Drosophila melanogaster: one gene and its partners. The gene in region 3 interacts genetically with the main gene of each other region. Each region holds a gene or a part of one and is shown on either strand. Other genes may lie near its edges.

Evidence for each region.
Region 1: of tsh (region 3) and brk, changing one enhances a phenotype caused by changing the other (phenotypic enhancement), as found in Drosophila melanogaster (one study listed by BioGRID).
Region 2: of tsh (region 3) and Delta, changing one enhances a phenotype caused by changing the other (phenotypic enhancement), as found in Drosophila melanogaster (one study listed by BioGRID).
Region 4: of tsh (region 3) and hng1, changing one suppresses a phenotype caused by changing the other (phenotypic suppression), as found in Drosophila melanogaster (one study listed by BioGRID).

The regions. Positions count from the first base shown.
Region 1 is NC_004354.4:7,304,562-7,313,294, forward strand, and holds brk (brinker), read left to right. Parts: upstream 1-3,377; 5' UTR 3,378-3,911; coding exon 3,912-6,026; 3' UTR 6,027-6,571; downstream 6,572-8,733.
Region 2 is NT_033777.3:19,321,610-19,329,698, forward strand, and holds the start of Delta (delta), read right to left. Parts: upstream 4,609-8,089; 5' UTR 3,930-4,608; coding exon 3,873-3,929; intron 1-3,872. UniProt on the Drosophila melanogaster protein: Acts as a ligand for Notch (N) receptor. Essential for proper differentiation of ectoderm. Delta is required for the correct separation of neural and epidermal cell lineages.
Region 3 is NT_033779.5:21,824,567-21,832,715, reverse strand, and holds the start of tsh (teashirt), read right to left. Parts: upstream 4,124-8,149; 5' UTR 2,911-4,123; coding exon 2,858-2,910; intron 1-2,857. UniProt on the Drosophila melanogaster protein: Homeotic protein that acts downstream of Arm in the Wg cascade during embryogenesis to determine segment identity throughout the entire trunk.
Region 4 is NT_033778.4:21,165,475-21,171,962, forward strand, and holds hng1 (hinge1), read left to right. Parts: upstream 1-3,455; 5' UTR 3,456-3,522; coding exon 3,523-4,470; 3' UTR 4,471-4,536; downstream 4,537-6,488. Other genes in the region: Isha (insulator su(Hw) mRNA adaptor), read right to left, coding at 85-400, 1,256-1,360, 1,416-1,568, 1,698-1,970, 2,122-2,709, 2,958-2,987; LSm1 (uncharacterized protein), read right to left, coding at 4,591-4,764, 4,827-5,011, 5,066-5,120; Xpd (xeroderma pigmentosum D), read left to right, coding at 5,588-5,592, 5,647-6,104, 6,157-6,287, 6,350-6,488.

The DNA of each region.
Region 1 (8,733 bases), on a different chromosome or scaffold from region 3:
AAAGGACAATATCCAGAATTTCTTTCCTTCCGACTATATCCTGAACATAGATTACAAGATGATCTTTTTAATGCTAGGATACGCAAAGCGTCATATCTTTCAAGAGTTTAGATTGGTATAGTTTTCGGTATCCTGGCATTTGTGCTTCATCTTCTTGGGGCTCCATCTTGCGATTCTTCAGTCTTCAAGCGCTCGTTCTCCTCTCCTTGCCACATCTCTCTCCTTGTTTCATTTTTAGTCTGTTTGTTTGTGTGGGCTTATTCAAACGCAGACAGCGCGGCGGCAGCGTCGATGAAAAAAAGCAACCTAAGGTTCTTCTACTCCTACCACTCGTCTTCCGTCTCCGCCACCGCCGTCTTCACCTCCATCTCCTGCCCATTCTCGACGAGATTGGAGATCATAAGTGCCCCAGCACGTCGTTCTCCTTCTTTTCCTTTTTCGTCGGCTGCCGCGCCCTTTCCCTTTCCCAATTTTTTTATACTTCTTTTTTTTTTCTTCAACTTTTTAATCAATTCATGGGTATGGGTGGATGTGTGTATAGGTTTCTTCGATTTTTACGTTACCTTTTTATATTCAATTTTTATCTCTTTGCCTTCGTCTTTTCCGCTTCTTTTTTTTTGTTTTGTTTTTGATAAATCGATTTAGAAGCCGACGGGGTCTAAATAAAAAAAAAAGTGGAATTCTTTTGATTTTTCTGTGCCAGTGTGTGTGTTGCTTTTGAACTTTTTGTCGTTTGAATTTTTCGGGCCGAGTGTGTGTGCGTTTTTTCGGCATATTTTTGGGTTGTTTGTGGCCGCTTTACTTGGAAATGCAATTCCAAAATGTATTTCTCTCGCCTTTTTTAAAGGGTTTTATCTTTGGCGTCTTACAGATTTTTTCAAAATTTCTATTAATTTTTAATATTAATATTGTATGATATTTGTTAGTAATATCTATTGTTTTTAAATCTTTTTAGTTGTTGAATTTTAAGTAATTTTTCAATTTATTACTTTGGAACTTAACTTTTTTTTTAGTTTAGTTTAGTTTTTAGGTTTAAGTTCGTTACCGATTTTAGAGCTCCTTTTAAGCCCTTTTTTGTCAGTGCATCGAAGTTTATTTCTCGCTGTTCTTCCCGCTTGTTGTATTTCTTTTTTTTCTTGTGCAGGCGCTTCGCAGGCTCCATCTTGTCTTGCCGTCCCTTTCCAGCTTCCTTGATCTTTCCAGACAGTCCGTCGTCGGCTTTTGATTCGTGGGCACAGTGGGACGGTGGCGGGGGCGGCGGTTTGGGATTGGGTACAGTGGGGCGGGGGCAGCAGAGACGTGGGAATCTGAACCCCAGATATCTATGTATAGTTGTTGCTTTTTTTCTTTTGCTGGTTTTTGTTATTTTTTTTGTAAGAGGTACATAGGTGACTCAAAGATCGCTAGTCCTTTCCCTTTCCCACTTCATCTTACCATACCGCACGCGCAAATTGATGCTCAACAACAACACCATATATTTGATTTGTTTTATGTCATTTTTTCTATTTTTATTTTCATAAATTTGCATACACACGCAAGCGAAGCAGCCCACTGTCTCCGACAAAAAAAAATCACGCACACACAGAACCACACACGCATGCAAATAGCGAAAGAGAGCGAGGTGTCTGCGGCAGTGTGTGTGTGTGTTTCATTCATGAATCCAGATTTTGCCGAGGCAGGAGAACAGAAGAAGCAGAGTAAGCTGGTAACGAAGCAGAGGCAGCATTTCGGTTTGTCATTTGCAACAAGTGCGGAGAGGTTCTCTTGTACACATATTGTTGCTGCACTTATTGCATGCCCTTTTAGTTCTTTTTCGTTGCATTGTTTTATTTTTTCAATTTTTCTAAGCTTAGACAGAACGGCGGCAACGTCGACAGAAATAAGCTAAAGCTATATGGTATATATGCACCCACGGCCATAACAACGAGTAAAAAAAAAACCAAGATAGTTGGAAACCTCTGTGTTCGTCTGGCTCTATGTGTGTGTAAAAATATAAAAAATGCAGCAATGCATTCAACAGTTGATTCAAGAGAGAGCAAAAGGAAGAGAGAGAGCGGGCGGTTTGGTTGGCGAGAGAGCGGCGCTCAACAAGTTCGTTCGACGATCTGTTGCGCGGTTTCTACGGATGTGTGTGTGTATGCTGACGGGGGACGTGGGCACAGGGGTGTGGGTCAAAAGGGGTGGGGGGCTCTGGCCGATGTGGAAGGGGTATGGGGGAGGGCGGCGTGTGGAGTGGCAGTGCCAGAATGTCTGGCAGCCACGACTCTGGCGCACACACGCACACCATTCAAAGGTGCCTTTTGCACACGTGTGTGTGCGTGTGTGTATCTGTATGAGCAACTGGCAGAGCCAGCGAATTTGTAGCGCAGCCAGAAACAACAACACAACGCAACACGGCAACAGCAACCGCAGCCGCTAACAAACTGTGCTGCGACACAGTGGCACAAAAAGCTGCCAGCAAAGGGTTAAGTGTGGGCCTACTAATACATGTAAAAAACTAATTTTTGTAAACAGAATTTAAAAATGGTTTCCAAGTAGTGCGAACATTTGTCGACTTTGGGTTTATGTTTAAAACAATAATCTGTTGTTGGCAGATAGCTAACAATGTTTTAGAGATAGAAGAATTTGAAACGCGTTTCACTTATTGACTCGATGGCCTATAAATTGATAAAGGGTTTTTTAATTATTAAAGAAGAAGAAAATGTGTTATATTATCTCGCTGTTAAAAATGTTATCTTTTGATTTGTTCTATTCCATGTTTTTAGGTATCATATAATATTTTTTTTATTTTTTATATAAAAAAAAGCCATACGAATTGGTCCCACTGTGCGGTTCGCGGTGTTTGTCAGTTAGTCAGTCAGTCGGGTGACTGTGGCAATCGAAAAGAGTGGACAAAGACTGTGGCGCACAGGGACGGGGGAATGGGTTGCTCCGTCCCATGTTGTCCATTCGGTCCCACCGTGCACACAACTCAGCACAGCACGGCACAGCAGCAACAAAAGCGCCGCAAAAGGGAACTGGTATTATGGCATCCCGCTCGCACTTGCACTCCAAGCACGCACACATGCAAGCGCAGACACCTCGCGACACGATTGTCGTCAGTTTGTCTGCAATGCTCAGCTTCAGCGCCATGCGCTCTCTCTCTGTTGCTCGCTCTCTAGCTCCCCCTCTCACTCTCTCTCCCACTGCTGCACGCACACGAACACCCACACGAACAGCAGCAACAACAACAGCAGCGCACAGCAGACAGGCAGGCACTTTACGCCTGTGTGCGTGAGCATTTCAGAGTGAACCGCAGTCGACGGCGGCGCCGGCAGCGACGCCGGCCGAGGCGAGGCAGTCTAGAACGTATCTTCGAACTAGAACGCCGAGGGCAGAACAATTGTGTTTTGGATTCCTTGCCGTGCGGATCGCAAACGCGAGTTATGAGAAGAGCGTAGTAAAACGTACGAGAAGTAGCTAACAAGAAAAGGAAAAGAGCAGAAGAAGCAACAGCACGCAGACATATATTTTTTTTAACTGTGTTTTATTTATCCGATCTATACCAATCGAAATATACACAACTATATAGATTTGAAACGGATTTTGAAAAGTGCTTTCAAATAAACTCCAAAAAGTATCAGAGCGAGTGTGTGCCAGTGTGTGTATGTGAGACGCGTCGCAGTCGACGTCGCTGCTTTGGGGACAGAGCTGCCAGATCGCGAGTTATGAAAGCGCAAGCGTCGCACGCAAGTAGCAACAACAGCTACAACAAAAGCACCTAAAACTTACTACCTACTACTACTGCAAAACACACTTGTTTGACTATTATTTCGCTACATTAAAATCAACAAAAATACACACAAAACTGACCAGAATCTTGGGAAAATAAAAACAATCTTTAAAGAACGCCACGAAAATAAACCATAATCATGGATAGCAGCAGCGAACAGTTGAACGGATCGGGAGCTTTGAATTTCAAGCGGCCCAAGGATTCTTCGGAGAATGCCACAAACAGCCACACAAATAATGGCAATTCTTCGGGCAGCCCCAAAATGGGAAGTCGTCGGATTTTCACGCCCCACTTTAAGCTGCAAGTCCTCGAATCATACAGGAATGATAATGATTGCAAGGGCAATCAACGGGCCACGGCCAGGAAATACAACATTCACCGCCGGCAAATCCAAAAATGGTTGCAATGCGAGTCAAATTTGCGATCATCGGTGGCCAACAATCAGCAACAGCAGCAGCAGCAGCAACAGCAACAGCAGCAACAACAGCAGCAGCAGCAACTACTCCCACAGCAATCGGTATCGCCGACACCGGCGGTCAAGGTGTTCCATCAGCTGAGCCATCCGCTGGTGCACCAGTTGCATCACCATCACGCCGCCGCGGTGGGTCATCATCATCATCATGCCGCCCACCATCATGCCGCCCATCATCATCACGCTGCAGCAGCAGCGGCGGCAGCAGCAGCGGCAGCAGCAGCAGCAGCAGCCCACCATCATGCCGCCCACCATTTGCTGGCAGCCAATGGCATGGTTCCACACCCCCTGGCCGCCCATCCCCACTTGCATGTCCCGGTGGCAATGCATCCTCAAATGCAGCATCAGAAGGAGCAACAGCAGCAGCAGCAGCAGTTGCAGCAGGAGCAGCAGCAACAGGATCAGCAGCAGTCACAGCAGGAGACACCTGCAACCATTGCTACCAATGGCAGCAATCAGGGATCCTCGAATGTCCTTTCGGCGGCCAAAATAGCCGCTGTTGTTGCCGCCGCCATGGCCACCAGCAATGGCAATCCCACACCGACAGCAACAATCCCCGCCAGCAGCAGCAGCAGCAGCAACACATTGCCGAGCAGCAATAACAGTAGTTGCCACAACAGCAGCAGCAGCAGCAATAGCTGCAACAGCAACCAAGTGCCAATACAAGTGCCAATCCTGAGCGGATCCCCTGGGTCCACATCGTCAGCCAGTCACATTCCACATGTGCCCTTTGCCTACCATCACAATCTGCATGGCTATTTGGAGAATCGACTGGAGGCGGTTGCCACACCAGCCCCCATGGACCTCTCTCTCGGATCCTCTGCCCGCCGTCAAATGCAGTTGCACGAAAAGGATCCATCTGGTGTGGATCTCACTTTCCGCAAACGTAAGGTCATCACTAGTCCGATGCAGCCGGATAAGATTAGTAAGCTGGAGGAGGTGATCAAGAAGGAGCCCGAAACGGAAACGGAGAACGAGGATGTGGAGGTGGACGTGGAGACGGAGCAGCCGGAGGAGCACAAGCTGCCCTCTAAACAGGTCAAGCTATTTAAGCCCTATTTGCTGGACGATGATGAGGAGCAGGATCATCATCATCATCACCATCACCATCGGCAGGAGGATTTGGATGAGGGAGCTGCCGAGGAGGAGCAGGACGACGAGGAAGAGTCCCGCTATGCCGACGATGATGAGGTGGACTCCAAGGAGGCGGCCGACAAGAAACAGCGTCGCCTCAAGAAAAAGCCATCGGCAATCAACGAACAAAGGGAACCCATCATCTGGAGCAACCATCCGTATCCCGGTGGCTGTGTATCGCCCGGCAGTTCGATCACCAGCAGCTTTCAGTGCCCCACCAGTATGCAACAGCAGCAGACATTTCCCGTCGCCGGCGGGAGTCCTAATCAGCAATTTCAGGACAACTGCAGCTCCAGCAAAGCCACCACGCCCCTCAGCCCATTCTCGGCGCCCGCCCTCTCGCCCACCGGCTTCTGTTGCCCCAAAGGATCGCCCGTTTCCGGTTACGAGAGCAGCTCATCCACCTACAGCGACAGCGGCAGCAACTACAGCCTCAATCTCCAGCTGCATGCCGTCTACAACGACAATCTGATGTACATGCAACAGCAGCAGCAGCAGCAGCAACAGCAGCATCACCTGCAACATCAGCAGCACCTGCAGCGCTGGCTGGATCAGGAGTCCTTGGCCACTGCGAGGACATCATCCGTCAACCGACCACTGATTCTCGTGGCGGATACTGCGCCCACAAACCTGACCCTGGTGGCCTAAGAACACACACACACACACACACACACACACACACAACAAACAACACACACAATAGAAACTAAGGAAGCAGCAATCCCACCAATCGGATGTTATAATGGCAGTCACTGGGCCTGGCCTTTTAGTTCCCTAAGCCATATTTAAGCTTAATAACGTTTTTTTTAGCCCTACCACCTAAGTTTACCTTAATAAAAAATTGTATATCTAAGCGCAAACATATATCTTCCAAGCATATCAGCAAAAAAAACCCCAAACCCTAGGTATAAACCCTTCTTTTTTTTTTGGTTACACACTAAGAACAAATTAAGCTTAAGTTCAGATTTTTCTTTTTTTTTTTCTTGTATTAGCTTGTGTAAATAATTGTGTACAAAAAGTGAAACAAGGCGAAACAATTGAATTTGCTTAAGAATTTCAACGCTTCATTTCATTTGTATAACTTGTGGGAGAGTATTTTAAGAGAGAAAATGTGAAAAATGCAACTGGAAAAACTGAGAAAATTGTTAAGAGTAAAGCTTTAAAAACGAAACAAATACACACCTTTACAATACACACTTTTTTTATTTGGAAATTGAAAATTGAAAATTCTTGTGATATGACAACAACAAAACAAAATTTTAATAAAATTGTTGAAAACTGAAGCTTATTGAATATACAGCTATATTATACATAAATATATATTTACAAACACAAAAGAGAGCAAGAAATTTAACGTAATATTAAGGGTTACATTTAAAAGTTAATTATAATGATATACAATATACATATATACAATATATTTATATACAAACAAGAGGAGAACGTTTTTTTTTTTTTTTCATTGCCAAGGGAAATATTAAATGCGCCTATACATAGAGAAAGAGATATATATATCTAAATGTATGTATATATATAAAATCAGTATTTTTATATATTACATTTGACAACAACAATAATAATAATAATAATTGTGTGACCATACAACAAACAAACAACAAAATCAAAAGGAAAACGAATTGATTAAATTAACAACAGAAAACTAAAAAAACTTTAAATTAAACTGGTTTTATCATTGCATTTGCGTTGGGTTTCGAATGAAGTCATTGCTTTTCAGATGACTGCAAATATTTCAGGGATCTATCTATAAGATCTTTTTTGGTTTCTGGGTTCAAAAAAAAAAAAAATCAATATCAATACACCCCCGCCGCATCAATTGGGATAATCTAGATTCGAGAAAAATCGACCTGCCTTTAGCTCCGCAATTCTTCTTAGCTGTCAGTGTGAGGTTAAGGCCCCATTTATAGAACCGATCGCCGTTTGATCTTTGCGATCATACCGAATGTGCCATTCAAATGTGTGTGCGTTATTTGCGTGCCTCATTGTGACAACTCATGGGTTGTCAGTCAGTCAGTCAGTCAGTCACTCAAGTCAGGGCATAGCTTAAGGCTTTGGGGCTTTCCATTTCGAGTGCCTGTGCCACGCCCCCTGCCCCCCCCCCCCCCCATCCCCTACGCACAGACTAGACCACCCACCGCCCTCCGCGAGCTACTCGGTTTCTGGTCAAATTCGCTTGGCACATTTCAACGGCGGGGTATGACTAAGCCGCAAATTCTATAATGATCGTATTTTTAAAACGTTTAAAAATAAAGTGCTCTCGTTTGCCAATGTGTGCGCCAATCACGAGCCCCGAGCCGCAGCATTCAGCACCACTGCGATCCACAGCCACATCCACATCAGCATTAGCATCAGCATCAGCATCAGCACCACCGCAACTGCCACAGACGGCAGCTATCGTATCGTATCGTATCGGATCGGATCGGATTGGATCGGTTTGGGGGATCGGTTCTTGAGACAGAGCGGCATACTCATTGTTTTTCACTTGACGCGCTTTCCCTTCTGCAGAGCAAAAGGCAAATCCGAGCGATCGCTGCCAAAGAATTTTTGCGACATTTGCGGACAAAATAGACCCCACGGGATACCCACTAGTCATGCACAAGGCGAAAAATATTCCACTACTTTATGAAAAGTAATATTCATAGACACTAGCTGCCATTAAATGAACAAGGTATACTCTCTTGTATACCATAATGTTCTTATCACTTAGCCAACATTTGTTGCATCGCATTTTTTTTTCTCTGTGTACAAAAGGGTGGAGACTGTGCTGGCAGATCGGAACTGTTGGCATCTATGCGATTTGATCGTTCAGGTGATCGTTCCCACGTAGTCAAGTCCAACTAGGGACGTAGTTAAGTGGAAGGGATGAGGAACAAAAGAAATAGGAACGGGGAATCAATTCGGGAGGAGTGGACAACAGCTAGATCAACACAAAAGTCAAAAGAACACAACGAAATGGAACACTAAATCAGATTAGGAAGTACCAACAGTACCAAAGTTTACTTAGTCTATAACAGTACAGTTATATAATCTTTAATCTATGAAAGATAAGAGGTGTTCAAGAAGTTGAAACTAGAAACTATGGAGAAGAATCAATGGAAAAGATCAGAAACGCAAGGATGAGAACCAATAACCACAAATAGGACCACCAAACAAACTATGGTAAGGTACGACGAAAATGGCTAAGATCAGGGGCCAGAATCCCCAAGAGGAGCGTACATATGTACGTATGTATGTATGTCGAGGTGGGGTCCATTGGTACCGGGAAACTGTGGGAGGAGCGACCGCAGATGATTGCTAAATTTCAATTTATTTTCGTGCTATTTTCTTCGAACCGCGT
Region 2 (8,089 bases), on a different chromosome or scaffold from region 3:
CTATCAAAATGTTATACAAAGGCATGCTAATACTTAATCTACTCTTTTTCCTGTGTATGTATTAATAAGCAGCCAACAAAAACAAAACGGACGCAAAAGAGCAGCAAAACAAAAAGAAACACACACAACAAAAAACTTAAATAAAAGAAGCAGCAGCAACAGGCAGCGACGCCGACGTCGACGTCAACGTCGGAGAAAAACGATGAAAAAATGTACAAGTAAAACCGAATTGTTTCCCACGGCATACGATTTTGCCGGTCAACATTGATGGTTAAAACGAGGAAAAGAGACAGCGCGAGAGGGTGAGAAGGGGAGCGCTTGGGCGAAGAGCGAGAGAGCAGAAGTAAAAAGGTGTAAGCGAATAAACGCCAGGTGAAGAAGAGCAGTGCATGCAGCCATATTGAAAGATCGCCAAAAGAGAGAGAGAGAGAGAGGCCCCAAGCTATAACAGTTTAGCGCAGAGCGAGAGAGAGCTAAAGCGGTAGTTGTTGTTGTCAGCTGAGCGCAAAAAGAGCAAAGCGTGACTTAAAAGTGAATTGGAGTCGCGTGTTTGCTGGTGTGTGTGTGCAAGCTTACAAGCTGCAGCTGCCAGCTGCTCCAAAGAGAGAGAGAGAGCACGAGAGCGAGGCTCTCCCAGAGCAAAAACTTGTTTTCAACGGCGCTTTGAAGAGGAGCATAAATATGCGCAAAAAAGCACAGAATAAGAAGCAGGCAAAATGAATTAATAGACAATCAAGCCAAACGATGCGTCTGAATTAATAAAAGAAATACAATAAAAAAGGGAAAGAGAAAGAGGGAGAAAAACCATTGAGTGGAAGGAAGGTTAGAAAGGTGGGAGGCGGCGGGCAGGGGGGCGTGTCCAGTGGAAAGCCAAACTAAACTAGACTATAAACAACAAAATGGGACAAACGAAAAGCGCACACACAAACAAAGGCGCAGAAGTTGACACAACATATACAACACAAAAAAAGCAAGACAAAACAACAAGCAAATCAATTTGCATAACACCAAACAAACATTCACACACACTCTAAAGATGGTGGGAAGCACAAGCAAAACAAAACAAAAAGTGCAATCGTTAAAACCACAATAGTTTTGTCCACCATTTGACACCAATTTTGGTTATAGTTTCTCACACTGTTTTAAAGTCCCTCCAAGTATGCGGTTAGTATTAGCAAGCTCTTAAAGGGACAAGTAGTAGATAATATGATGAATTAGCATTTAAAAAACATAACTTTCGTTCTAATAACGTAAAATATATAATATATTTCTCTTTGATCTAACTTTTCCGACTGTTTTTATCGTAATTCCAAAATGTTGAATGCTCAGTTACACCTTGCACAATCCGCCTCATAACTTTGGCATATGTACACTGGTAATGGTTCTCCTTCCGCTTTTTGTTTGCCTTTGCCTTCAACTATGAACTCCACAGCGGCTGAATAACCGAAAGGTAAAACTTGTGGGGGGGATCTACGAGGGGGTTTCGCCAGGTGGAACTTGAAAGCTGGAGCTGCCAACCTCTCAAATGGAAGACAGACACTTGTTAAAGTGTTAGAAAATAGTGCGTTGCATTGTTTACCTTTTGCTTGAGCCATTCTTTGTCTCCGTTTCTCGTTTTCTTTCTCTTTACTGGCCACTACTCCTATTTTTACTGCGATCACTGAGGCTTGAAGCGACTAGTTAGTTAGTTCTTCGTTTCTTTTCATTTTTTGCCATTTCCACGTCAACTTGCCTTGACTGACAGACAGTTGTTGTAGAAAAAAAAGCAGGGAAGAAGTTAAAACAACACAAGGGGACATAAAAATGTATGAAAGCACGCATTTTTATTATAATTTTCCCCGACTTTTCCTCGACTTTCCTACAGGTGTTTGCTTTGGTGCCCCTACCCTGCATGTTGTTTATTAATCATTTAAATTCATCATCATAATCAACCGTTAACAACGGGCTTGGGAAACAGTTACAAGCGCAAGTGAATCATCCATCGCATTGTGTGGGAGTAGTCGTCGTCTTCCTCTTTGGCTTCTAAATTGCAATTAATTATGTTATGCGAAGAAAGAGCAGAGCCGAGAAGACTACGAGTGCTCCCCCACGAGTCCCAGTCTTCATTCATTCATTCATTCATTCACTCACTCGCTCACTCACTCACTTCTTCGACGCTCAATGTTAATATGAAAATTGCATAAATGCGAAAACAAGGCGACTACGGTTATTTGATAGTTAAATTGAAATTTAAACGCAGCATGGGACAAGAAAGGGCCAAGAAATTGTGAGAATAATACCTTATAGAATGGGCAGAAAATTGAATTAAATTGCATTGCTAATGGCAAGCTAATTGCCCGAGATATTATTTTAAATGACAAATTAAACTATTCCACCTTTCCCTGTAAGTAAGTAAGGAAATGAGTCAGAATTATTGGGCAGATGTTTCTGCCTACATACGGGGAGCATTTTCAGCAGTCCCAAGACCCCAGGAGGTTGGCGTCGAGACACTTTTTTGGGACGTTGTTAAAATTAGCGACTAAATAGCAGACTGCAAAAAGAAGCTGGTCGAAGAGTGAAGTTTAAGCACGCAACGTGCCAAAGTTGGGAGAAAATCAAGAAGTGCGGAGAGCGGTAGAGGATTGGAGCACATGCAGGGTGCACGGTGAGTAAATGGGTACTATTATCAATAAAGAGCTCCCTATCAGCTTAATATTGTGGATCTAAGTTGTAATTTCTTCGTAGCTAAATAGTTCTGAACTATGAAATGTATACTATGTACACATACTATGTATGGTCAAGATTTATTATAATTTAATATTTTCTTATCTTTGAAACTAACCCACACATTAACAACAAAATATTTAGTGTTATTTTCTAGAGATCGCACTGTTTGGAAACCCTGCACAACTCTTTTTTTTATCCGTGTAACCAGGGGATGCTGGCGTTAAAGATCAATGAAAGCATGACAGAAGAGAAACAACGCAAGGAGGGGAGAGCAAGTGAGGCTGAGCATGTGTCGCGTTGACCTACGCAGAGCGAAAAGTAAACCGAAAAAAATCGCATGTAAAAAGCGCATGCAAAGCGGAGGGACAGAGGAGGAGATGACGGCGAAAACGGCAGATGTTGCCCAGCATCATCAACTTTTTAGCATGGGCTTGTAGCACAGCATTACTATATAGCCTCATATTGAAATCGAGCAGTTTTATCATTTTTTGCTGCTGCTCTGGATGCATACGCCGTTGGTGGTAAATTTTGACGTTGAGGCAGACTTGGATCATCTCTGTTTTTACACGGAGAACAATTAGTACACATAGTAGGATTTCTAAGAAGTTGAACTGATCTGCATGTCAAAAATTATCTTGAAGGTATTTCTTCTAACGTATGCCTCATATTTTTCCGCTGTGTACTAGAATTAAACCATTTTTTGGGGATGGACCTGTTTGGGCATTGGCCTCGCATGTTTCCAAACTAGTTTTGCTCTATGAAATATGTATGCATGTTCCGAAAAGGGTGATACGATCCGATCCACAATTTCCACCCCTAAAAGCCAACCCGCTTAAAATATCAACTCAGCTGTTTCTACCCAAAAGTTCTCGGGTTACCAGCTTGAAAAATAAGTTTGGAAGCAAACGCGATGTTGGAGTGGTTTCAAAATAGATATTTTGAGATGATCATACGGAACCCCAAAAGTTTTAAAATATTTAGTAACCTGGCAACCCTTCAATCGTTTCTTCCCTTTTGGCCCCACACACACACATGCGCGCACAACACACCAGCTGCAAAATTCAGCGGTGAGTGCACGCGTGCGCGTAGAAATAAAGAAAATAAATTGCCAAAAAATACAACTTGTTGGATGGAAAATGAGCGCTTTTCCTGGGACTGAAACTCACCTGCACGATGACTGTGAAGCAAATGAATGCTGTTAATAAACATTTAATCCAATGCATGTTTATTGATGTTTTTGTTGCTGATTTTTTGGATTGAGTGTCGCTTTTAGTGTAATAATCCACGGGCTGTGTGTGTGTGTGTGTGTGTGCGGCAACTACTCAAATTGTTTATTGTGTTTATGTTTTGAATTTTTTTTTTGGTTACTTGTCGCACATGGTTTTGCAATTCGCTTTTAGCATTTTCGTTGTTTTCTTGTTGTCGTTGTTGCAAGCTACACGTGCACGCGCCACATTTTTTGTTGCAATTTCCTCGACTGTGTTTATTTTTAAGTGTCGCGAAATAAAAGCTCTTTTCGCGAACTGCGGAGTCTTCTCCTTTTCACGCAGAAAAGCGCAAAAGGGAAAAGCGAGAGAGGGAACTAACGGTGCCGCGATTCTTAATCATTCGCGATTTTTTAATCTTTCGGAGGAAACACTTCTTGTTATTCTGTTAGAAGATCTTTTATTTTGATTTCTGGTTCTGGCACTTTTCTTTTGGTACATTCAAATATCGAATGAGAACTGCCCAGAGTCGCGGTAATCTGCAATTCTTAAGTGAACTATTGCATTGGCAGTTCGCGTCACACACCGAATATTTGGTCGCGTTTCGAGTCGGGGACTTGTGTTTTTCAAAATGCCTTGGCTGCGGAGCTGCCTTTTTCGAGTTATTCGCGCGGCCGAGTTGAAAAACGTAATGCCGTTCATGTCCACGACCAAAACACTATTCACCTTCACCGCCGCGAATCGTACTAAAAAATACCACGAAACGTACTCGCTCTCTCATTTCTCTCTTTCGCTCTCAAAACGAGTTCCGTGGCAAAATTAGTGCATTTCAGCAGATGCAATGCAACAAACCGTTTTGAATAAATAGTCAACTTACACATTTTAAAAACTATTTAAAATTTCAATATACATTACCAAGTTTATTTTGATATAAGAATTTATTATATTGTTTAACTTCAACCGGACGGGTGTTTATTTGTACAAATTTCCAAGATTGTCTCTAAATAATCTTCAAAATTCGGATTTTTTATTTCTAGATATTCTACTTTTATTTTTATATCTAAAATAAAACAAATCAATTCAATTCGTTTACGTTAGCAACATTTGATTCCCCGTTTTGCTAGCAGTTTCAGATACCAGTTGGATACCGGCTTGTAAGCATTTCGTTAGCAACATTTGATTCCCGGTTCGCTCAATTTACCGATTCAGCTCACGCGAAAGTTGAAAGCAAAATGCTTAGCAACATTTATTGTTGCCAAGATGAGAACCAAAAATAAAATTAAAGATGGATATTTGTATTTAATATAAATATTTGAATTTTATTATATTGGGTGCTTATAACTTATTGAATTGGCATGCAAGTATATCTCCATCATCTTCATTAGCAGGTACGTCATCAGTCTTAGGGTCTTGGTATTTATATTCCACCAAACTGCCGATCCAAGCATCCAATGTCGTTAGTATGATCAAAATCGAATGAGTTTCACTTCGCTAAAAACAACTTCTGCTGAAGACGTTTTCAGAGACGGAAAATGCATCATCATATGAATTTTTTTGGCTCTGATAACTTCTCCAGGACTGTCGCTCTTATGGAGGTGAAACTCCTTCGAGTTTGGGCATACTAAATTCATTGAAAGAGGATCCATAAACTACATATTAATTGTCCAAGCTGCTCGGTGGAAATTGCTGAAGATACCATCTAGCTAAAGGTTTGGAATCTCATTAAATATGATCAGAATGTACAAATATTTACAAGCCTCTGCCTCAAAGATCCATTGGCTCGGAAATACCATCTTGTGATAACATCTTCACTGCGTTGCATATGTTTGCTCCACAATAACCAAATGAACTAGAATCTCTATTGAAATAAACGATAAATAACTATATAACCAAACAATATTTCAAAATCAATAAATTTTGTTCTAAGCATTTTGTGTAATAGTAATAATTTTTAATACTTGCATTTATTTTCAACGAATATTAAAAAAAATAAAAATAAAATTTTTTTTTTGAATCCAAATATTTTCTAGTTGATATAGGACTGCCGACGATGCCGAATCGAGCTAAACTAAATATTTTTATGAAAATAGATTGAATATGATGTGTTCGCCTACTACGATTTCATTTTGGCTTTACAATTTTAAATAGCTGGCCTGATTTTCCAATTTGTACTTCCATTCTATTCTGTAAAAATCTTAAGGTAAAAATGCTAAGTCTGTACACCTATTTATTTTATTATTATTCCTAACAAATCATTAGATTCTTCGGTGGTCTCTGGATCCAAACTTTCGTTAAAAATTGATCCAATTACTTAACGAAAAGAGCAAGATTAATTTGATTCGATTTTTTGATCAAACATTGTAAATCACTCGAAAACAGCAGTTCATTGAAATGGTCTGATAAATGGGTCAGCAAGGCAAAGGGCTGAGAATAACATGGCCAGAACTCTCTTCACGCGAAATAAAGTTGTTGAAATTTGTACAATAAAAATCGGTCTTCATTAATTTGCATCGAACGAGGGACATTTGCATATGCATGAGACCAGGAGGAGACCAGACAGGAGACCCCAGAAAACGAAACCAATCAAGTCAACACCCAATTTTACAAGGAAATGCGGACCAAGACCCCGAATTTCTCCTGTCCGACTATAAAGTTCCCGCCGCGATTCCTTTTACAGTGAAGTTTCTTTAAAAGTGATCAGAAAATATATGCAATTCCTTCATTATTTGAAAAAAGAAACAAGTATTAATTTTAAAATAATAATTTTAGTTTGGCATATTTTAATAATAGTTTTATAATATGTATTTATATGTATTTTATCATTGACTTTTATTAAAAATAAGTAAATATTTAAAGTGTTACTATGTTTAAGTATTATCTTTTTAGAAACTACAGCTTACTCTCTTATTTCTAAATTCGTGTAGTTTATTTTGCAGACATTACTTTAATCTTCAAAGCCAATTCACTATAAAGATGTCCAACTGTAATGGCAATATTTAAACAAACATATATTTCGCGCAATAAATTTGACAGTAAAGTACTCGCACCGGGAGTTTTCAAGCCATGAGAAGAGTGAAAAGTTTTTAAATTAAACACAAATTTATGATCAAACAACGGCAACGGCGAAGTGAAAAAAATGAAAAGGAGCAGTGAGAAGAAAAACCTGCAGGCTGTGGGGCAAAGTCAAACGGCAGCCTCTCGATCGCCGGAGCGCGCCGTTTAACCCCCCGAAGCCCCTTAAGGCCCCTTTAGCCCCTTGATCCCCTTTAGCCACCCTCCCGACTTTTAAAGCCAAGTTAGCACCTGTAAACCGGTTGGCTGTCGGCAGGTAACCGCGTGGAGCTGGGAGCTCCAACTCCGAAAAACAGATGTCCTGCTGCTCCAAATTGAAAGCGCAACATACATCATCCATCCTTTTTGCGTGCACCCTTCTGCAACCCCCCCCCCCCTGTTAGCCGCTCGGCGGGTCCCTTAACCCGTCGAAGGGCGCCGTGCAGTTTGAATAATAAGGCAGCAACAACAAAGAAATTGGGGTCATGTACTTGGCCAAGTCCACCAGACAGGCAACATCTTTCACTTTGCAGCCTCTTCTGCGCATCCTCGCACCGCCCCTCCATTTACCCTCCGATCTACACGTATTTTATGCATATTTTTTGGCCAAGAGATAGCGTTTTTTTTTTCTTGGCCCTCTGTGGAGGCTGCAAAACTTGAAAATTAGTCGCGTGGCTTGTGATAATCGGTGGATCCGAGAGGGGGCCTTTAAGATCTGGAGGCGGGACATGCTCTTCATATCGGGTGGAGCGTGTGTCGCTCATGATCTGTTTATAGTTCAGATGGATGATGTAATGATCAATTGCAACCTGTTTCCAATATTTCTCCGGTGGCATGTGTCGTTTAATTGCTGAACTTGTTATCGAAAGGGCTTCAAAAATAAACAAGGCAAGAATGTGTGGGTCTCTTGATGATATGAAAGCATTAATGAAAGCAAACAACATTCGTTTAATGAAACAAGCTTTGGAAACTTGCAATTCACACTTACATTTCCCTTTTATCTTTCAACGAAGAAAACGCGAGTTTTGCCAGTTTATGTAATTTAGTATTTAGGGGTATTACTTACTACCATTATTACTTACTTGCAACCTCGACATCTTCGAATCATTCATCAATCAAAACCTCTA
Region 3 (8,149 bases):
GCCGGCAAGGGGAACCTACAATGCCATCAATGGCAAACATATGTCAACATTTCGATTTGTTATTCAAATTTCTGAGCGCCATAAGGCAAACCCGAATAGAAAAAATAAAACTCTTGCGCACGCAGATGTGTTTTAGTCGGCAACACACACACACCCCCCTCCAACATGGGTAGTAAAAATCCAAATGAAACAATGGCGATTAATTCGAGACTTTAGGCGTGCGTTATGAGCAATGCCGATCATAATCAAAAATCGGAATCCGAGAAGAGATTCAAGTATTTGACAAACTTGGAGGCAATTATCGTTTGGCTGACCGACCACAAATTCCTCATGGTTTGAATAAATTAATTGGGCTGTTGAAAAATGTGCATAAATAGAGATGGAATAAACAAATTTTATTGCCCTCATAGCAGAGAAAACAAAAAAAAGAATAAGGAAAATAATTTGCCATCAGAGAAACCGAATCTTTAAACTTTATTTCCTACATTTGTTCAAGTGTGTAACATTCAAATCAAAACCACTTATAATTTTTATAGCACCGATTGTTTGCTTAGAAAATATTTCACAGAAACATAATTCAGCGGATTCCGTTTAGCTTATTTTGAATGATTGTCTGATTAACTTTGAAGTATATGCAAAGGTTATAAATTTTTGATGATAGCTCTATATAATAACTTTGTATTTGTGTGTGGGTGCGCATTGTGCTTTGCTGATTGGGTTTGCATTTGAAACGGACGGAAATAACCAAACTTAATCAATATTTGAACGTGAAAATCAGCCTGTAAAATCTGCCTAAGTTGGTCGAAGCGTCGAATATCAAGTAATTGTCATGTGCTATTGTGTGACGAGCGATCGTTCACCGAAAAATGAAATTCTTAACCGGCATTAAGTTGTTTGATTCGGAGGAGTTTTGTCACTGGGCCCTATCAGAAAGTCAGTGTTTAATTGATGGATTGTTTACTAACAAATCCGGCCTAGCGCAATATTGATGATATCTTAAGGAACGTCGGAACAAAATCTGATTCATGTGCAGCTTATTTTGAACTCAGTCACCTGCCAGGTGACAGTTTATCAAAGATAGTTATTACACACACCGCGCAATCACTCACCGCTAATTAGCTATCCAGATTGCAAGGGGCGATTGAGCCCGCAAACAACCCATTTAGCGGCTCGTTTCTCCATTATTTTGCTTGACTAGTATAAAATACTTGGCAACGAGTTTTCTCCGCCAGCATATCATAATCTGAAATCTCGTTATTCGATTAGGCTTAAATCAAAATGATTTATACGCAACTCCAGCAAGTGCAGTTAATTACAAGTTGAAATGTCTCATTAATAATCGAGAGAGTTGCATATTGATATGCACCCGTAACGCTCAGGCTAACTAAAATAGTGGGAGTACACCCATTGGTGTGATATGGGAGAGTTGGTTGGACCTCAGGTGAGAATATAAATAAATATGAGTTGACCGATCTGAATTTTTTTATAGTAGAATTATTGTTTAAAATGTTTATTCCCTAGTATATTTTTACTATATACTGCGAAATGAAGGTTATTAATAACAGTATATCTATTTGTGCCGAATACAACACACTGTCCCTGTTAAAGCAAATCTAAGGCACGACAAATCCGTTAAGGTAGCAGAGTAAATATTACTAAACATACACATGCACCCGGAGATACAGCCACACGCACACGCACACGCCAGCGGCAAATTGTGAACATAAATCTCTCCGGTAATAGGCGCACACGGGGAAATTGGAGGGGGTGGAGAATGGAAAAGATGGCAAGCAGAGCGTAGCGTATTTTGAGTTTTTCACTTTTTCGCATGATTTATTCAATTCGACTACGTCATCGCCTTGGAAAATCTTGAAAATTCGTGTGTATCTGCATGCAAATCAAACGAGAGCGAGACAATTTGTCGCACTTTATTATTAATACTCCAGATGCACCCCCGAATACCCTCGCCCCCGCAAATATAGTGTCATAAAACCCGTTTTTAGCCTTCAGTTAATTTGCTCAGACTCAGGCTCACTCGAGTGACTGTTCGAGAGCGAGTTCGAAAAATATCTTGAACTTGTTTAATCATAATTTCAGAGAAACCCAGATACAGATACACAAACGCTTACCCCAAGTTAGTATCCCATCATCGAACTATGGCGATTTTTCTGTTATTTTCGGATTTCCCCTGCCAGCCACCCTTTTCAAATCAAGTTCTGCTTTTCCCGATCCGAGGGTCTGGACTCGTAGTCGTGAACTCAGTACTCTTGGTTCTGCGGGTGGGTGTTGTGATATATGGGCGCGCTATTGGCGAGGCGCTGAATTTATAACGACAGGTGTGCGACTACGCCGAACCGCCAATGCCAATCATCAAATGCCATGAAATCATAGTTTCTTGATATATTTATTTGGCCGATTTGTGGTTGAGAGTCTGCAATACTATTTCAACAAGTTCGGCTATCAGTTCACAATGACAATGGTTTTTGATTTTGATTGAAAACGTTCTATATTCAATATATGTCGTATATACTTGGTATATATAATATTCTATTTAACCAGATACTTGAACGCACATAAAAAGCAATTGCAAAAAAATAATATTAACTGAATGAGATGAATGTAATTATTTTATATGTGAATATTTTGAGTATGGCCACTTTTAGTTAAGAATTCAATATTTCACTATTTCATAATGAAAAACACTTTGATGCACTTTGGTAGTAAAATCTCAGTTCGTTTATCCTTCATACCCAGAGTAGTCACATTTTTGAATCCCCCGAATAAGGCCATGTGAATCTTTTTCTTAATTCTACATCTTTCACTGTTCTATGGAAATAATCTTCCATATAACACTTACCCGGCATTTAGCGCCTGTCTGTAGATCTCGAGCATCAGAGCCTCGTGTAACATTTTTAAATTTTGCTGAATTTTGACGGTTTGCTGGAACTTGGATGGTTTGCTCTTTTTGGAGCAAACAACGAGGATTTTAGTTGGATTTTGGAACTTAACTTTAGTTTGACACAATGATCATATAATCTATTGTTTTGCACTTGGTACGTTGTAGTATAACTTGTTGTTGTTGCAGCGTATAACTGATTAATTTATATTTTTTGGATTTTGTAATTTATAAACTTTCGTATGTCAGACAAAAAATGACGTTTCGAGGCGTTTGTATTTTTAATTCCTAATTTGTGTTGATTTAAATTTAATTTATTAATTGCATTGAATCGTATACTTCGTTAAGGTTTGTTGATTTAAGTAACTGGCTTTACATTATGTATGTAGTGTAATTTTGGTGAATTAAATACCGTTTAATGTAAATATTTGCAATAGTTTATCTTTAGTTTTGGTAATAAATATATTTTTGTGGTATATTTTGTTTAGCTTGTGGTAGTTTTACGTATACTTTGTTGAACCATTTGTAGTTGTATGTTTCTCGTATGTTTCAGTCTTGATCGAGCATTTGCGTTCGAGAGTATCAAACCTCTGCTTCTTTGACTAGATATGATGGCGGCCTGGAAAACACTCGTTCTATCCTCCCCCAAAAACGCGTTTTAAACTGAGAATTCACTGTTCTGGCGGAACCGCGGGTCGCGATGCGTGCGTCTTCTCATCCGGATTCGTCGTCACTACTCGAACGAAAGTCCAAAGGCGATTGAATCCCGCTGGCCGGGTTCCTTCGTCACTAGCCTCTGCTGCGGTGCTCTGCCGGTGCGCTGCTGCTGCGCTGCCGTCGCTGTCAAGCTGACAAACAACAACAACGGGGCGCTGCTGCTCTGCCTTCACTGATTGATACGGATGAAAAAATGAAGCGACGCGACGGACGCGCAGCGATTGGAAGCTGCGCTGCTGTTGACGAGCAAACACGAAGCCCGCGTTTTGGCGACGGCAATTTCTGATTCGATTTTGCGTTCTGGCGACGGCTGCGCACTTGTGTGTGTGTTGTGTGTGCCGTGTGTGCCACCCACACCCTTGCAGGACAAGCTGGCTGTCAGCGTGATTAAATGTGCTACTCTCTCGCTCGCACTCGCCGGCACTCGGCTAACTAATTACCGTACGATTTTTCCAAGTGCGCCGAGCTTTTTCGCACGATCGTACGCAGTAACGGTTTCTTGTCGACTGACTGACTCTTGGCGAAAAGAACCCGAAACCGATGGGTAGCCAAAAGAGAGCGCGAGAGAGAAGAGAGAGAGAGAGCGACAAGAGCGCAGACTTTCCCCTGTGCTGGCAAGTGAACGCTTGGAACTGAAACAGGGGAAATCGCTAGGGAAAGAGATAGCGTTGTGGGACCGCTCCGTCTCGCTTGCTCCGAAAGTGTGTGAAATCTGTTTTGTCGTTTCGTCACCCTTCTTTTGTCCTATTCCGAATCCGATTCCATCACAATTAAGATTTATGACAGTTTAACAAAAATGCTCTCACTCGCATGCGCCGTCCTGCTCGCAGCCACTCAAACTGTGTCGGTCCCTGCTCTGTTTTTATTTCTTTTCAAAATAAACAGTAGTTGTTGCTCTCTGAGCTTTTCGCCCTCGTCACTTTTAGCCTCTTCCCTCTCGCTCACCTTCCTTCATACCCTCTGCTGTCAACTTTTGTTCGCCTTTCTGCAGCTTCTTCGTGGATCTCGCTTCTTTTGTTTCGTTGCATTGCTGTGCGAGCGAGTAGGAGAGTGAAAAAGTGGAAAAGTGGTTTGGGGCAATTTTCACTTGAAATCAACCCATTCCACTTTTCTTTTTGGCTGCGAAAACAATTGAATTAGCGACACTCCGGCCGTTCTTTCCTCTGAAAATGTGCCAAAATGCCGCGATTTTATTAGTTTTCATGGCAAGGTGTCAATGTTTGTGAATGCGTGAATGTAAGGCTGTGTAAGAACATTGATGTACATATGAAAGTATAAAGCCGAATGAAGTACAAATTTGGTTTAATAAGTGCCTTTATACAGTCTAAAAGATGACAGCATTGAATACTATTTAAATACTAGTATCATTAATACTCAAGATCACGTCTAATAAGTGCATCTACAATATTTTTCTTTGTGCCGACCCTGGTTACCTTAAGTTTATATATTGCATGTACTTTTTCACATAAATTGACAAACGTATAAAATAGTAACTTTCGATACATTATAATACATTACATTATAAAACATTATATACATTATTCTATAAAATTATCAACCGGTAACCGAGCATTGCCTTGATTCCTATGCATATTTACGGAGACGACTACTGAATCAAAATTTAGTTGCGAGGAGTCCACGAAAGGTGCCCCTACTTAGCCCAAGGCATTTTAAGCCAAGGTTAAACTTCGCTAAAACCCACCTAAACTGGCCAGTCTCCAAATGGCGTAATATCCCCTGGACTGATGTGTTAAAAATAGTGCTATTTGGTGGAACTGGTTCATATGGTTATATCTGACGACCTCCAAACACCGAGTACCACCCAAAACACCCACTGAAGACTTTCAATCACGGTGGACCTGCAATACTGGTATGGGCTTGTTTATTTTTTACAATGGTATGAGTCCATAACATATGATTTATGGTATTATAGACCAAAACGCATGTGTAAATATACTAAGGGATGTCTTACTGTCATATTCTTATTATAATATGCCCTTAAAATGGAAATTCCAACAGAATAATGATCCGAATGGCAGAAGCAAATCGGTTAAGAAAAGGTTCACCCAAAATAGAATAGATGCAATGCCGTGGCAAGCACCATCTTCCGATTTAATCCCGATTGAAAACCTGTGGGGGGACATTATACAATATGTGACGAATAATTCCCCGACGTCTAAGGCTCAGATTTGGCAAGTTGTGCAGGATGCATTGGCAAAAATTCCCCCCAAACGTTGCCAGGACCTGGTGGACTCCAAGCCGCGTAGGTGGTGGCTAACAGAGGCTATCCAACACATTAATAAGAAAAACTGTTAGTTTTAAGTCAAATTGAATTTTGTTAATATTTTTTTATTGCACTGCTCTTTCAGTGAACACCAGAATATCTGCCTATTATGTTGTTTTGATCTATATTTTAGAAAACTATTAAAGAAATAAGTGTGAAATTTTTGTTGAATTGTTGGAAATTAAATACCTAATGATATTATAAAAAAAAGCCCATCAAAACTGTAAATCATAGGATTTTTCTATATTAAACTCGCAGGTGCAAAGCACTGCTATTTTTTATGAACACAGCTGTATATTGATTTAAGTCAGAAGTTAGCATCACAATAAGGGAGACATGCGTTAGTGTAAAGTACATGTACATACATACATACATATGTACAAATAATATCTCTTTAATTTTTTGCCAGTTTTTATCGATATTTATAACTTTGGTATGCAATTAAATTCCTTGAGGCTAATTAAATTTCGTTTTGCATATACAATATTTAACCATACCAATTTTTGTTTCGACATATGACTCCTATTATAAAGGGTGTTCATTCTATTCTTTGATTTAATGATGACATGATGATTTGGTTTGCATATTTGCGCGTAAGTTTCATTAGTGGACGAAAAACCCACACTATCAAAATCCGAACTTAAAATCTACCAATATTTGACGAATGCCTGGTGGAGCCATAAAACTCGAAAATGGCGAAAAACTCGCTCGTTTTTTTCTGCTTTTGCCGCTGTTTTTATTGTTTACTGAGTCTTCATCCAATGGGAATCCTCGCTGCACTTGTTGCTCCCAGAACGGGCTCCGTTAAAGGCTGAGAAACGAATCGTAAAAGATTTAACGATCCACCAATTAACCGATAATAATCAAATCACGTGGATCCACTCAAACCTAAAGAAGAGGTGCTGGGGCGGGAGCATTGCTTTTGGGGCTCCAGTATCATCCCCATCTGAGTCCTCTTGGTCTCCGTGGTAATAAATACTTTTACGATTCTATAATTTGATTTGGGAATTTTTATTAAATATTCTTTCTCCTGCCTTCACTGTGAGAGAGATCTCTTCGCGATGGGTCATCTATTGATTTTGCTGCGCCCCATTAATTTTTTATGCTTTCGATCATTAAAATTCGTTTGATAAATTATTATGTGGAATTCGAATTCACTAAAGCTACAACAGCATTCGAGACTATTGTCACGCAGAATGTCCTGCAGTATGTGCTTCCTATGCATTTTTCTCATTTGCACTATGCTAATCGTATAGGGACAATTAGTTATTAGTGATTTTATTTTTATTATTTGCCTTTTTATTATTGGCCACTCCTCCCTCTAACGTCAACAAAACACCCAAATGCTGTCACGCCATCAATGTTAGAAATTGTTTGGATTTTCAATATTTTTTAATCTGACCGTTTTTTTTTTGGCATTTTATCCATATGCCAAGAAAATTTTTAAATATTTTCCTGAACGATTCCTACTGACTTATGAATAATAATAAATGATATAAACTCTAAAAAAAAACAATTTTCATCGCTTTCCTATCTAATAGTCGAGGAAATCGACCATATCATTTTCCACTGTTAATTGAACACTATGACGCAATCCAAAAGTGGCAAAACGTCAAATCAAATAATGGACAATTAATTAGAGGAGCGTGAACAGGCTATCATCTGCTTAACCACTCAATAAGTATGCTCTGAATGGTGTAAGGAAAGCTTAAAACTGCAAATATTATATTATGAATATTTTTATAAATTATCAAAGTAGGTGGCGAGCTGCAGTCATCAGTGTCCGAGTGTCAACGTTTTTGTTTCCGTTCATTTCGGTGGCTGAGCGAGCGGATGACAACTCAGCAGATGATCCCAAATACACCTACGGACCTACAAGATATATGTACATACATATGTACAACTGCACAAAGATATAAGACAATTCGCCCACGAATAGCGTCATGATTTATTTGCAGCGGGTACGATTCTGCTTAAGATTTTGATCGCCGCAGTGCCTCGGATTTATTTTTATAGGCAGATTTCATGGTGCAGAGGGATTAACTCTTTCAGCCAACGCCATCCAATTTTGAATTATTAAGAGTTGTAAATCTCGACCAAGAAATATCAGCTTAAGCTTGAATATTACTTCGATGAGCTACGAAATATTCGGAAAAATTCACACATATAATATTATAATCATCCATAGAGCGATCCACGTGTTGAATGGACGAAAACATTTTCGGTCACTTGATAAACTTATGTATGTCTCC
Region 4 (6,488 bases), on a different chromosome or scaffold from region 3:
CAGGAAAGCACACAATGCAAATGGATCTTAAGAAGCACCATCTTGTGGCCTTTAAGATCCATTTATCATTCCCGTCATAGTTACCACTGAGATGCTCCTTTTTGATGTCGGGCAATCCCTTCTTGCGCCGCTCACGCTCGTGTTCCCGATCGCGTTCCTTGTCTCGATTGCTACGATCCATGCGATCCCGGTCCCTTGATCCGCGTCGCCGGCTGGACCGTGGTGATCGGCTGCGCGATCGGGAACGAGTGCCACGCCGACGTCGATCGTTGCCCGTGCCTCCTCCGGCGCCACGTCCTCGCGGAGATCTCGTCCGGCTGCGACTGTTCCGGCGACTGCGCTTGTAGCGATCACGGTCGGGCGTCGGGCTGCGGGAATCGCCACCATCCAGATTGATCACCTATCGGAGATGGGAGTGTTTGCAAGAAATTTGAGAGTGATACGTGATAAAAATTTTGTTAAGAATAAAAAAAAAAAGTTCAGTGGGATAGAGAGGATTCGGGATTAGTGGCTGGCCACAGGGCGAATACGTTATTATCGACTCAATAAACTGCATTCTTTGGCGTGTGTTGACGTGTGGTTCTGTTTCGCTTTCGACTTTCATTCATCTAGTTATTTCGGACTAATTGGCAATTTGCGTTTTCGAGCAACATTTTTATTTACATATTAGGAACTTACCAAACGTTGTTCTAGCATCGGGTAACGAGTTGTTCCGCCGGATATTATGTGGATTTTAAAACCTTACCTTTGGCTTCATTTGCATATTTTTTAAATATTTTACTATTGGTTCGACTTATTCAAATATTGGCAATTGTTTTATAGTTCAAATATATGTTGGGGACATATAGATCGACTTATGAAACTGATTTAGGGTTTGCCCAAAAGCATCATCTTTTGATTTTAAACATTTTTTTTACAACAAAATAAAATTTAATTTTAAATGGATTGGGAATTGAATTGTTTGCATATTCAAGATATATAGTATTAAAGTTATTGATTAAATAGTGCAAGACCACCCCGTTACAACTAGTTGAATCAATTTGGATTCGAACACGCTAATATCCCATCAGCTATAACAACATATTGAACACATTTCCAGGATTAACTGCACGTCAGCACAAGGCAAATAGTATCACCCGTTTTACATCTAATATGTTTATACTTTAGACCAAAATTAATGGCGAAGTCTTGGTGAAAAGCATACACAAGTCGGACCCCAGGAACTAAGATAGATTGGAAAAGTAGAAGGGTATACCTCTATGGTCTGTTGCTCCGATATGAACTCGACATCCTTGTTAAGGTCCATGCTGTCGTTCATGTTCATGCCCATGCCCATGCCCGGCGGCATACCAGCATTTCCCTGAAAGCAAATCATAATGAAAATATGTACATCGTCATGAAATCATAAGATGTACCTTCATTACGTTCTGGAAATGCTGCTGCAGTGCCTCGTCCTGATAGCGATGCTTCTGGTTCTCCTCCTGCGGCTTCAAATTTTGGAAGTTCTGCAGCGTATGGAGCTGCCGCAGCACATTCGGATTGTTTAGCAGCTGCTTGATCTTCTTCTCCTGAAAGAGTTATTTAAAAGGTTATTCAAAATGGGATCGATCTAATGTGAGCAACAAAAGCAACAAATAGAAACTTAAGATAAACAAAACTATCTAAATGAAGAGATGTGTTAATGGGGTTCGCCATACGTCTAACAGGTTTGAAGAAGTGGGCGGTGAGTCGTCGCCCATACAGTGGTGATCATCTGCCATCAGCATCTGCAGGCCTTCATCTTCTTCCTCGATGATCTCCCGCACCTGGTAGTCAATGTCGTGCGAGCTCTTGACATATTCCCGTTTGTGATGATGCGACTTGCTGGTCTTCGACGAGCACGAGACCACCGACTGTCGTTTGGAATAGTGTTGCTCCGAGTAGTGACGCTTGGAGCTGCTGCTGCCACCGCCGAACTTCTCATGGCCCAGCTAGCGATTGGGCGAAGGGCAAAATGGGCGGTTAGTGGGCAAGACATGAGAGACAGAGAAATGTAAATGCAGCAGAATTGTAGACGATGTTAGTTAAGCCATTATCCAATACTAGACACCTGTAGAAGCCTCAACCGAAAGCATCACTTACCGACAAGTCGGGCATGGCACCGCCCATCTTATCGTCGCCCCCGGAGCTGTTCATGCTTATCTCCATTCCGGAGCTGTTTAGACCGTTCGGACCGCTCGATATGTCCGCCAGGCTAAGAGCACCGCTGCTGCTGGGTCCTGGACCCACGCCGCCGCCCTGTCCTCCACTGCCACCCACCGGAGGCATCTGGTGGTAGATTGGGTGGTTTGGGTCGGCCAGGTCGAAGATCGGCTGAATGACCTCGGACTTGAAGACGTTGTTTTTCTGCCACAGGTTCAGTACCCGGATGATGCGACTCTTGTCCTCCGGAGCGCACCGGAACAAGTTGGCAAAGGTCTCCGTGAGATTACGCTGGAATCGGGGCGCGAACAGATCCTTGTCCATACCGTACTGGTGGCGCGACTGGCGCACTATCGAGTCGATTACATACAGCCCGGGTACTTTGTACTCCGGCTTGCACTTCAAGATGAACTTCTCCACACTCTGGACGACGTGCTTATACAGCTTGATGGCCCGCATCGCCGACTTGGTGATGGCGGCCATCTTCGCTTTGGAAATGGGCGGTCGGCTGTCATAGAGTCCGGAGAGCTAAGGAGAAATATAGATGTTACAGTACGGCTATAGTTTACGGATATCTGGGACATGGAGTTATCGTTATCGGGTGCTGGCCAAAAAGCAACCCTGAGCGGTGCTGTTCGGTGCTCTGCCTGCGCCTCCAGCAGGATCTGTATACCTCCCGCACATTGGACAATCCGAATACCGACTTCAAGCGGACATTGTGCAACCACGCCGGCTGCTCCATAACGAACCTCGTTTCTAATGCATCTATAGCTTACCTCATTGTTGAAGGCAACCACGGTTTCCATGTTCAATTGCTTGGTTCACTCACGGCACGCACACACAATATTTAGTTTTGCATACTTTGGTTGGTCAACACAATCGTTTAAAACTGGCGAAAAACAATTTTCTCGACCTTTCTGCGGTTTCCACGGCTTTTAAAAAAACTTTTTACAAAGCGTGAAAAAAATGGCTGCCCTAAAGCCTGAAGCGTTGCCAGACCTGTAAAGTTGACATTTTCAAGGCATTTCTGGAAATTGTGCTGTTAATGGCAGTGTGACCGTATGTGGTGCATAACGTTTCGGTATTAAAAAATTTTCCAAATATTTATAAAAAATAAAACGAAATAGAATTTTCATTATGGAATCCAAAAGTTTCATATAAAAAAATAATGACAACAAAATAAAAATGACCTTAAATAAATTTAAATGAAATCAAATCTTCTTAAATGTACTACCTTTTAAAAATAATCGCTATCGGCGGTGTCGATCTTTTTAGCATTGTGTCGATGACAATACATCTGGCAACACTGGTCAATATTAAACATATATTAAACAAATTAAAATGAGCTCAAACCACCGTCCTCTGGACGATTCGGATATCCTCCTAATACAAACCATCCGCGAGACGCCGTCGCTGTACGATCCCCAGCTGCCCTCCTTTCGGCTGTCGCAGCGCAAAGAGGAGGACTGGGCAAAAGTGGCGGATTTGCTAAACATCTCCATCTCAGACGCTCGGCGACGGTGGACGTGTCTGCGGGATCGCTATTCGCGGGAGCTTAAGCAGAAGCGCCTGCATCCGTCCGGCGAGTTTGGTCACAATGACTTCTTTCGGAAGATGGACTTCCTGCGGGACTTTGTGCGCAAGAGACGCGAGCGCAGAGGACGCGAACGGGATCGGGAACAAAAGCCAACCGGGTGGATGAAGGTTGATTTACAGCGACGGCGTCGTACCCGCCTGCCTATTGACACAGAGACCTTGATCGAGGAGCAAGGTTCGCACGCCTACGATGAGGGCGAGGAGCAACACGACTACGACGCTAAGCTGGAGTCTCATACCACACAATCGGAGACGTATTCGGTGGTCGTGGAGGCGGACGATGGGCAGGAGCCCGAACAGGAGAGCTTCGATGAGTTCCTGGGGGATGCGGAGTGCGAGCAAAAGGTCAAGGTGGTCACAATTCATCCGGAAATCGCTGCTCCGAATGCGACGTCCGCACCTGAGCCTATTGAGTCTAACCACGCGGATCTGAACTACTTGGTCTGTATGCCGCCCAATGCGAATCAGGAGCGAGAGCATTCCGCCCCAGAATTACCCAATCCCACGGCCGTCATCACCCAAAAGACTTGCGAAACAGAGGACGACTTCTTTTGCAAGTCGATTGCCGCGTATTTGCGCCAACTGTCGCGCGTGCACAAGATCAAGGCCAAGGTGGAGATGTACCAGATTCTAGAGAAGTACATACTGCTCGAGGAGTGCGGAAAGGGGTCGGGTGCGGGCGGATCAGGCTAAGCAGGTTGCATGCAATATGTACATAGGTTTTAACATAGTTTTTTAATGCAGTACAAATATACAAAGAGACGAAAATCTTTTGAGCTTAATCTAACTTTGTGCTTAGGAAAAAATGGAGTCTTAGCAGAAGTCCTCGTTGATTATGTTGGCATCTACGGCCAGGCCTCGTTCCTTTAGTGCCTTGGATACTAGGCGGTGTTTCTCCTGCCGCTGCTCCTGTTCCCTACGCTGGGCGTCCAGGATTTCATCGACGGATATCTCTTTGAGTGGCAGTTTCTGCTCCTTTTCACGGTCCTTTTACGCATATTTAAAGGGTGTTAATCAGTCATATTGAAAAAGTATCGAGTAAAGCTTACTATTTCGCCCAGTAGCACCACATTCTCCCCGCGAATGATGAAGACTCCGCGAGGAATGTCGCCGTATTCGTTGCCCACATGTATCCGCTCGATGGTGCGTTGCAGCACCAGGTTGGCGAACTGGTCCACGGACCGCAGGTATCCAATCAGAGTCCGTCCGTCTCTCAAAAGTACCATCAGTTTCTCTGCAATGCGCCGGTTTTCAACGACTGGCCTTCCTTTCATTCGGATTTACTCACTGTCAACCTCTTCCAGGAGGTGAGCCGTGCCCGCCAGCGGATTTAAGTCGTCCATGCTATGAAAATATGTGGGATTTAGATAAATAAATAAACTGAAGCAACTAAACTTTGGTCTAAATTTTAGTATTTAATATTAATGTAACCCTCGCTGAAGGGTTTAAAAAACCACAATGCTCTAGAAAAAAATACTAAAAATATTACTACACTGTTCAACGAAACTTATAAGATATTGCTTACTGAAATTGATGTTTTTAGTTTTAAAATGCATAGATATTAAATAGTTATTATTAATTTTCAAACAGTTAAAAATAAGATTTCTGCTCTAACATCAAATATTTTTACGCTGTTCACAGAGTTACAAAATAAAAAGAAGTTGACCAAAAAAATATCAAAACTTGTACTCAATCCATGCAAATTTTTCACAGCCCCATCGATAACGATGGTACAAATTCTATACCTCGATAGTACCATCGATAGTTTGCCGGCACAGGGAATTGTGAATTATCCCGGAATAGGCGAATAATGAAGTAAGTGGCAGAACGGGATAAATGAAAGTACTCCTTTAACAACCCAGTCCACAGGCTCAGCGTGGACGGCCTGTTGGTGTACTTTCCGTACGAGTACATCTACCCGGAACAATATGCCTACATGCTGGAACTTAAGCGTAGCCTGGACGCCAAGGGCCACTGCCTGTTGGAGATGCCCTCGGGAACGGGCAAGACGGCCACGCTGCTCTCCCTGATCGTTGCCTACATGGTGGAGCATCCGGAAACGGTGCGCAAGCTCATCTACTGCTCGCGTACTGTTCCGGAGATCGAGAAAGTGATCGCCGAGCTGCAGAACCTGATGGTTTACTACGAGCGCCACTGCCCCAATCCACCACCCTTCACCGGTCTGGTGCTCAGCTCTAGGAAGAACATGTGCATCCATCCGGAGGTCAGTAAGGAGCGCGAGGGCAAGGCCGTGGACGGTAAATGTTACGGACTCACTGCCAGCTACATTCGCGAACGGCACGAGATGGACACCGAGACGCCCATTTGTAAGACTATTGTTATCCATATGTAACCATTATTTCAACTGCGAACTTGTAGGCCAGTACTTTGAGGGATTTAGCCTGGAAGGCAAGGAGTCCACATTGCCGGTCGGCGTCTACAGCATCGATGATCTTAAGGAATACGGTCGGTCGCGCAACTGGTGTCCCTACTTTTTGGCTCGCTATGCTGTGAGTTTTTTCGTTTGAAAATTTCAAGACTAGATTTGACTATATCTTGCATTCTTTACCAGATTGCCCATGCTCACATTGTGGTATACAGTTACCACTATCTATTAGATCCGAAAATTGCCCAGGTGGTATCTAAGGAAATGAGCCGCGAGTCCTGTGTGGTCTTTGATGAGGCGCACAACATCGACAACGTTTGCATCG